Linked DNA regions of Coturnix japonica. The protein of the gene in region 1 purifies or fractionates together with the protein of each later gene. This does not show direct contact. Links are inferred from orthologs where the notes say so. Each region holds a gene or a part of one and is shown on either strand. Other genes may lie near its edges.

Region 1 (4,319 bases):
TGCTTGTTTCACAAGACATCACTATGCTTCTCATCACCTCATCTTCAATCTGATGGAGTGACTGCCCAATCCTAGCCAAAGCCTCCTCATCCTACAGTGCCAGTTTCAGTCAAACAAAGCACATGTCACATTGCAGGACAGCAATACAGCTGTGCGCTCCTGCATTGAGGTACAAATGGAAAACAGACCCTTTCTGAGGACTTTCTGACGAAGATGATCAGGGGGCTGGAGCATCTCCCCTATGAGGACAGGCTGAGGGAATTGGGTTTGTTCAGCCTAGAGAAGAGAAGGTTGCAGGGTGACCTCATTGCAGCCTTTCAGTACCTGAAGGGAACCCACACCCAGGAGGGGAGTAAACTCTTTGAAAGGGCTGACAATAGCAGGACACGGGGAAATGGTTATAAGTTAAAAGAGGGAAGATTTAGGTTGGATGTTAGGGGGAAGTTCTTCACTAGGAGAGTGGTTAGGCCCTGGAACAGGCTGCCCAGGGAGGTTTGTGGATGCCGCCGTCCTTGGAGGTGTTCAAGACCAGGTTGGACGGGGCCCTGGGCAACCTGATCTAGTAAAGGTGTATGTTTGGTGGCCCTGCCAGGCAGGGGGTTGGAACTACATGATCCTTGAGGTCCCTTCCAACCCGGGTCATTCTGTGATTCTGTGACCATCTGATGAACTCCTGATGGCCACAAAATAGCTCCAGGACTTCATAATCTAGGATGAGATCTGTAATTCGCAGTATTAGTGGACTTCAAGCATAACAGGCCAGTAAGCATTAGAAACACTAAGAAACCGCTTAAAAACATACCTGCTTAACAGTAACATATCCCTCGTTACAGTCTGCTTTCAACACAACTGAAAGAACAAAAAGTCATGAAAAGCCGTGAAAAGAAAGGCCTGAAATCCACCCACCCAGCCCTTGGGGAAAACACTCGTGCACCCTCAGCCTTGCGGCAGAGAGAAGAGCTCTGCCTCATCACCCACGTCCTAAGCAACAACACACAAGGATGAAGCTGACATGACAGCACTCCCCCCCCCCCTTATGCTCGCTGCAGCAGCCGGGAGGCGCGGCCTTACCTTGCCGCCGCGAGCACCTCCTGTCGGTGATGCCTGTGAGCGGCCCGCGGCCCAGCACCACGTCGGCCATGTGGGGCAGCAGCACCCGTAGGCCTCGCTCCTCCATGGCCAGCAGCCAGCAGTCCCTCATGGCCGCGCTGTGGAGCCGAGCACACACCGCGTTACCGGGCCGCGCCGCCCGCCATCGCGGGCCGCACCATGGCAACGCGGCCTACACCGCGCACGACCCCGCACAACCTCCGCCAAGGACGCATGCGCGCTCCCGTCTCGAGTCCTTCTGCCTGAGTGGGCGGGGCCTCGCTGAGGCTGAAGGCGCTGATTGGCTTAGCGCGCTCCGCCTCCTTCTCCTATTGGTTGTTCCTCTCTTGAAGCTGACTTCCGGGGCGGGGCGGCGCCGTCTCAAAAGCGCCGGATACGGCCCGGCTCCGAACTTTCCAGAAGAGTCGGGAGCGGAGCGGGGCTGTGTGGGCAGAGCGGGCAGTGAGGGCCCAACATGGTGAAGGAGACCAGGTACTACGATGTGCTGGGCGTCAGCCCCAACGCCTCGGCTGAGGAGCTGAAGAAGGCGTACCGCAAGCTGGCCCTGAAGTACCACCCCGATAAGAACCCCAATGAGGGAGAGAAGGTGGGTGAGGGGCGGCAGGGAATGAGGGCCGGGAGCGGCGGGACCGCGGGGTGTCTGAGGTGTGTGTGTGTCCATCCCGCAGTTCAAACAGATCTCACAGGCCTATGAGGTGCTGTCCGACCCCAAGAAGAGGGACCTGTACAACAAGGGCGGCGAGCAGGCCATCAAGGAGGGCGGATCGGGAGGCGGCTTCGGGTCCCCCATGGATATTTTCGACATGTTCTTCGGCGGCGGTGGGAGGATGCAGAGGGAGAGGAGAGGTATGAGCGGCTTCTGACCCCATCCCGGGCCCGCAGAGCAGTTCTGCTGTTCTTAGGATGTTCCCGTAGGCAGCCTGGGGGTGGAGGGCTGCTCAGGGAACGCGAGATGTAGCGCTGAAGGCCGTGGTTAATGAGCTGAGTGGGGGGTGCGGCTTAGTGAGCTTCCTTACCTTAAGGATCCGATCTGTGCAAGCGGCCGAAGTGCCGTCCCTTAACGCGCGAAGCAAACAAGGGGAGGGTAGTTGCATAGTGCAATGTTTGAAGCCGTGCTTTGTGTTGGTCTCTAACCGGGCTTTGTGCTTGGAAAGCTTTGGCTGAATGGTTGCCTAGCTTTTGTTACTGAGTAGGAAACGCAGGAGTAACAAGCCTTAAAGTAAGTGCTAAGTAAGGTGCCACGATATCAAAATGGAAGTTGATCTTACATTGTAAGTGGCCCCAGGTTGGACGGGGCCCTGGGCAACCTGATCTAGTAAATGTGTGTGTTTGGTGGCCCTGCCAGGCAGGGGGTTGGAACTACATGATCCTTGAGGTCCCTTCCAACCCGGGTCATTCTGTGATTCTGTGGCTTTATCTAAATAAGATAACCAAGTTACTTTGACTCTGAAGCCTTCTTGTGATATTTAGTTGAACTGGATTGAGTGCAGCTGCAGTAATGTTCTGCTCAAAAGTTAAAATCTAGAGGTAGCATAAGGGAAGGCTGATGTTAATTAAACTGCTTAAAAGCAGCACTGGCCACAGCACTTCTCTTCCTAGTGGGACAAAGGGAATTTAAAAGGCTGTATCAGAGTATTCTTAGTAAGATAGAACTTGCTGTACTTCCCTGAACTGGTTCCCTTGTTCCTAAAATTCTAATGAATTCCTGATTGTAGAAGTGTAGTTACTCAGATTAGTTTCCAGAAGTCCCTTCATGAGAGACAGAAAAAGCCTAACTGGCTTTAGGTTGTGCCTCCCACTTCCTTGTAGAAGAACTTCAGTTAAAGCAGAAGTTTTGAATCTGGAAGTAAAATGTAGTGTTTCACACTTCTGTTACATCTATTGTGTGTTCCCTCAGACGTGAGTCAGATTTCTTCTAATAGAGAGGTGTTAATGCCTTTAGAACCCTTACCTAACTACAGTACAACTGGGAAACTGACTAATACAAGTAGTGAGAGAACTGTGAAACAAGATGTTAAAGGCTACAGAAGCTTGTTTTAGCATGATATGGAAATTGTACTGTTACTTTGAGTCCATTTGCAAACTAAAGTAAATGTTTTCTTTCACAGGCAAAAATGTGGTCCATCAGTTATCAGTGAGTTTAGAAGATATGTACAATGGTGCAACAAGAAAACTTGCACTGCAGAAGAATGTTATATGTGACAAATGTGAAGGTAACTGTGAAATGTTGACTATAATTCCTTCTCTCTGGAGATGCAGAATTAACTTATGCATTGCCAGAAGCAATGAGAGATCTCTGTTACCCATCTCTGATTTTTCTCTCCAGGTCGTGGTGGTAAGAAGGGTGCAGTAGAATGCTGCCCGAACTGCAGAGGGACAGGCATGCAAATCAGAATTCACCAGATTGGGCCGGGCATGGTGCAGCAAATCCAGTCTGTGTGTATGGAGTGCCAGGGGCATGGAGAGCGCATCAGCCCCAAGGACCGCTGCAAGAGCTGCAACGGCAGGAAAATTGTTAGGGAGAAGAAAATACTAGAAGTGCACATTGACAAAGGTGAGGTGACTTGGTAAGATGCAGGGTTAACCTTGGTTGTACTGACGCTGCCTTTGTAGTTCTTAAACATTAACAAATGCGTAGTGTCAGCTTGGTGAGTGGCACCCTTGAAAACAATGGACTAGACTTTTACCGTCTTCAACAGTAGACCTGTGTTTAGGGAATGTTTGCGCTATGTTAATTTTTTGTGTGCATAGTGAATAACAAATGGAGAAATGTGCAATATTGTAAGTAGTGAATTATTTTTATCTGGTGCTGTTCTGTAAGTGCAAGTTGTGATCAGGTAAACATGTCACTTGGTTCAGCTTTCGCAATGAGTTTTCTGTGTGTCGGGAAACTATGCAGACTCCGATCACTTCTACTGTGTTTCAGTGTGAAGGGGAACCAGGTCTGCTACAGTAATTGGGTGCAAAGATGGTGCTAAGCCTGTAATGCTTGGAACTGTTTGCAATGCAACCCCTACAGTACTGCTCAGCATAGCTGATATTTGCCTGGCAAAATGTAATTTAATATATGAACCCTCACGGTGGTGGGAGAATGCAGTGTGTTGAGTGTGACAAATACTTTTCCCCTGGGGATTTCCAGAAGTTGGATGGACAAATCTTGGGAGTAGTGCAGCTTTTCTGACAAACTGTGCTAGCAAGCATGTAACTGC
Region 2 (4,270 bases), on another chromosome or scaffold:
CATGCTGCATAGAAGTGCTTCCTTTATGTTTGCTCTCTGCTGGGTGAGCATCAGTGAGGGTTCCCACTCTGAATAACCACAATTCTTATGACTTGGCCACTGCGGGAGGACCCCAGCGTGTGGATGCTCTGCAGCACTGCAGTGACAGCCACCTCCTCCTTTCAAGGTGTCACAGGGCTTATGTTGTGCTGTTCTCTTTGGGGAGGGTGATGGGGAGCACTTTGAAAAGGATTTTGCAGTGGGATGAGAGCTTTGGCTGCTGGAAGGGTTTTGTGGGATACATTCTGCAGCTTTATCCAGGTGGGCCTCTGTTAATTGGAGTTTACTGGGGAGAACTCATAACAACTTTGATGCGCCCCAGCAGGCTGAATCCTACATGAAGAGCTGTTGTACGTCTCTCCTCAGCCCCTCCTGTGTGTAGGCCTTTATTCTGCTGCTGCAAAGGGCTTTGAAGGAGCTGCTCTACTTGGCAGTGATGTTCATTCTTCTGAGGCTTCGTTTCTTTAAGAGCAAAGATGGAGGGGAGAAAAAGTCCTGTCACCAGCTTCTGAATCTCCTCATTAGTTTCCATGCCTTCATTCCTCAAAAGCTGTTGGTGACAATGATTTTACTTGCCTTTGTTTGAGTTCAGGAAGCTGTGGTCCTGCTTCTCCGCCCTGCAGGAGGGCTGCTGCCTTCCCCTTACTGTAGCCTGGACGTCTGGAAGTTTGGCTTTGGTGAGGAGGTGGAAAGGAGAGGACAGAGGAGATGGAGTCTGTGATGATGGTCACACAGAGCACAGGTTGTTTGAGTTCTGTGACCTAACACAGTTGTTCATCCTTGGGCAGTGAGGGCTGAAGGCCAGAAGGTGGTTTGGTGATTCTGTGGTTAAGCAGAGGGTTTTTTCCTCATGTCAGAGATTGGATCCCACCACTTTGCGTCCTTCCTTTCCCAGCAGGTTGAGGAGCTCACTGGGTGGTACATCGGAATAACACTTACTTGTGCTTTTGTTTTTACCTTGGCTGGAAAGAATCACCAGAACAGGGTCTAGAGAGGAAAAACACTTCATCACTCTGAGACGACTTTTATGCTTCTTTTTAAACACTATTTTTATAAAGCTCCCTTTAGCTCAGCAGGCAGCTGCATGTGGGCATTCAGGCTGTGCTCGGGGCGAAGCTCAACCTTCCTCAGGGCATTTGGGGCCTGAGCTGTGCTGGCTCCATTGCCCCATGTATGCAGTGATCAGTGCGAGTCCTGCAGCGCTGCCTGCTCAACTTCTGCTCTTTCCTTTTGTACTTTAACCCCTTATTATGAGACCCTCCGCGTCTCTGATTTAACGCTGTTGTTGAGTTGTCCAAATAAAATGGTTTCTTTGCACACTGCTACAGGCTGTGCTTCCCTAGGAGCCCTTTAAGGGGCGATGGTCTGTGCCGGAAGAGAGCGGCTCTGCAGCAGGAAGCGGCCGTGTTTGGGGCCGGGCTGGTTTAGGGCCGGGCTGTGCTTGGGGCTGTGTTTGGGGCTGTGTTTGGGGCCGGTCTGTATTTGGGGCCGGTCTGTGTTTGGGGCCGTGTTTAGGGCCGTTCTGTGCTCGGTGCCATGCTGTGGGGCCGCTGGCTGCTGCCCGGTGCGTCCCTGGCCGTGGGCGCAGGGCTGGGTGCAGCACTGTCCGCCCGCTGGCAGCGCGGTGCTGCGGACACGGAGGTGCCGGGGCTGCTGTGCCGCCTGCCCGTGGTGCCGGTGGTGTCGGCGGACTCGAGCGCTCCAGCCCCTATAGAACCGGCACGGACCGAGCTGACCAAGTACGGGCTGCCCGGGTTGGCGCAGCTGCGGAGCCGCGAGTCCTACGTGCTGTGCTACGACCCGCGGAGCCGCAGCGCGCTGTGGGTCATCGAGCAGCTCAACAAGGAGACGCTGAGCGGAACCTCGGATCGATCCAGCTGCGACTTCCAGGAGGACGATTCGGTGCACGAGTATCACCGAGCCACCAACGCCGACTATCGGGGCAGCGGGTTCGACCGCGGCCACCTGGCTGCTGCCGCCAACCACAAGTGGAGCCAGAAGGCCATGAGGGACACCTTCTATCTCAGTAATGTCGCTCCCCAGGTAGGGCTCACAGCACTCATGGTGTGGCTTATGGGTTCTGTTCCTCCACATGCAAACCATGGCTCCAGGGTGGGGGTCAGCTCATCTCACAGCACCTTCAGTGCTCTGGGAGTGTTACAGATGTGTTAGAATAGCCCTGAGCAATAAGGAAGTGTCCATGTCACCATCTTTGTGTTTGTAGGTGCCTCATTTAAACCAAAATGCCTGGAATAACCTTGAGAAATACAGCAGGAGCTTGGCGAGAAACAACAAGAACGTCTATGTCTGCACAGGACCTCTGTACCTGCCCAGGTAAACACCAGGAGCCAGGTGGGACCACAATGAGGATGTTGTGCTGGGAAGGTAAAACAGGCTGAGGGCTGCAGCTGCCCCAAACCAGGAGTGAACAGCCCAGACCCCCAGTGAGAGCAGCAGGCTGCAGGGTTTCTGCAGGAGGGTATTTTCTTAGCATTGCGATTATTTTCAGTGTTTCTTATTCAGTCAGTTATTTGGGGAGTACAAAGGGTGTGTTTCCTGAGATGCAAAACAGTCCAGTCACTTTGGTTTACAGTTTTTAGTCTAAGCAGTGTTGGATTAGTAGGGCATTGAATGAACAGATTAAACTGCACACCTCCCTGCGGAATAAAGCTCCTGGGTTTCATTTCATGGACTGTTTGTCCACTTAGAGCATGACTTTACCTGCAATGATATTTATGTGGGAGCATGAAGAGCAGTTTGATAAGCTGAGTTCTCTGAACAGCCTTTTCTTACCTCCTAATGTAAAAGGGGAGATGGTGAAGGAGGGGTCTGGGAGGAGCAGAACCAATGTAAGCTCACCTTCCCCATGTCCCCCAGCCTCTGTACAGCAATATTTGTTACATCTGCACTACAGATGTCATGCTGAGGTGGGGGCTTGCAGAAGGGTAGTGTTAAAGAGCTGAGTAGGGTGGAAGTGACATCAGCATAGGAGGTAACGTTGGATGTTGCTCTTGGTGCAGGATGGAGGCTGATGGGAAGATGTACGTCAAGTACCAGGTGATTGGGAAGAACAACGTGGCCGTCCCCACCCATTTCTTCAAGGTGCTCATCCTGGAAAAGGAGAGTGGAGAAATTGAGTTGCGCTCCTATGTGATGCCCAACAGCCCCGTGGATGAGAAAATCCCACTTGAACGTTTCCTGGTTCCCATTGAGAGCATTGAGCGAGCCTCAGGGCTGCTCTTTGTCCCAAACATCTTGAAGAGAACAAGCAGCTTGAAAGCCATCACAGCTGGAAACAAGCGATGAACTGTGACCAACCAGATCCAGGTAGCAGTGGGGGCCCACGGAATGTTCCCTTGTGTATTTTAAGGTGTGAGAAATAAGAGAGGGGTGTTTCTCTCGACCCCTTCCCCAGTTTCATTAACAGTGAAACACAGTGAAGCGTGTCCTAAGGACAGGCTGTAGGGAAGGCTTCGGAGTCCTTGATGGGTCCTTGTGCTCTGCACTTTGCCCCTAAGCTGCAGTACTGTGGGTGTTACTGTAATCACTCCCTTTGTGCGTGGCACATTATGACACATAGGGGCATTAATTTCTGTACTTAGAGGGAAGGATGGGAGCAAGCCGGGTACTGTGAGAGGAATGAAAGGTCCTTCCATTTCTGCTTATAATTTTCACGAAATGGTTTTAGCAGTAAAGCTTTGAAAGCACCAAGGATTGGTCATTTTCTTATCTGCTCTTACCAAAGCCTTTGAATGTCCTTCCCCCTTCCTGTCAAGATAAAGGCAGCTCCAGCCCTTCCTGCCTTGGGAAGGATGAAGCCTTGGAGTTGAGGGGATCTGGGGAGTCAGACTAACAGTGTGACAGGAACACGTGCTTGACACAAGGATTAAATTATTACTTTTGAAGCTTGAGGGCTGCATTGCTGCAGGGGCACTGAGAATGTGAGCTCCCTGGATGCAGTCAGCTACCTGGATGCTGACTGCTCGCCTTCCACACAAAACATGGGGAGTTTGAAGGAAGCAGAGGTTTGGTACTGTTTTATTCTCTACCGAAGGCATCTGAATAGCTGACAGTCAGTTTGCTGACCAGCTTTTAGCTGGATGTTGCAGCTGAATGGTCCAGAGATGCTGGAGACTTGGTTGAGCAGCGCTGCCAACTTTAGTCACTTTGTGTCTTCAGCTTCCCCAGGGCTGGTTCCTGGAGTGATTCTCTGTGTTTGAATAGCAACAGG

What was found. The genes of interacting proteins can lie anywhere in the genome.
Region 2: the proteins of DNAJA1 (region 1) and ENDOG purify together in Homo sapiens (affinity purification with mass spectrometry; 3 studies listed by BioGRID and IntAct, counting the BioPlex papers as one, with this or other methods). This does not show direct contact. The link is inferred for Coturnix japonica from reciprocal best matches to the Homo sapiens genes DNAJA1 and ENDOG.

What each region holds. Positions count from the first base shown.
Region 1 is NC_029547.1:62,426,503-62,430,821, forward strand, and holds the start of DNAJA1 (dnaJ homolog subfamily A member 1), read left to right. Parts: upstream 1-1,475; 5' UTR 1,476-1,564; coding exon 1,565-1,696; intron 1,697-1,778; coding exon 1,779-1,956; intron 1,957-3,218; coding exon 3,219-3,323; intron 3,324-3,436; coding exon 3,437-3,664; intron 3,665-4,319. Other genes in the region: APTX (aprataxin), read right to left, coding at 803-849, 1,072-1,201.
Region 2 is NC_029532.1:3,987,278-3,991,547, forward strand, and holds ENDOG (endonuclease G, mitochondrial), read left to right. Parts: upstream 1-1,463; 5' UTR 1,464-1,575; coding exon 1,576-2,082; intron 2,083-2,263; coding exon 2,264-2,373; intron 2,374-3,059; coding exon 3,060-3,345; 3' UTR 3,346-3,750; downstream 3,751-4,270. UniProt on the Homo sapiens protein: Endonuclease that preferentially catalyzes the cleavage of double-stranded 5-hydroxymethylcytosine (5hmC)-modified DNA.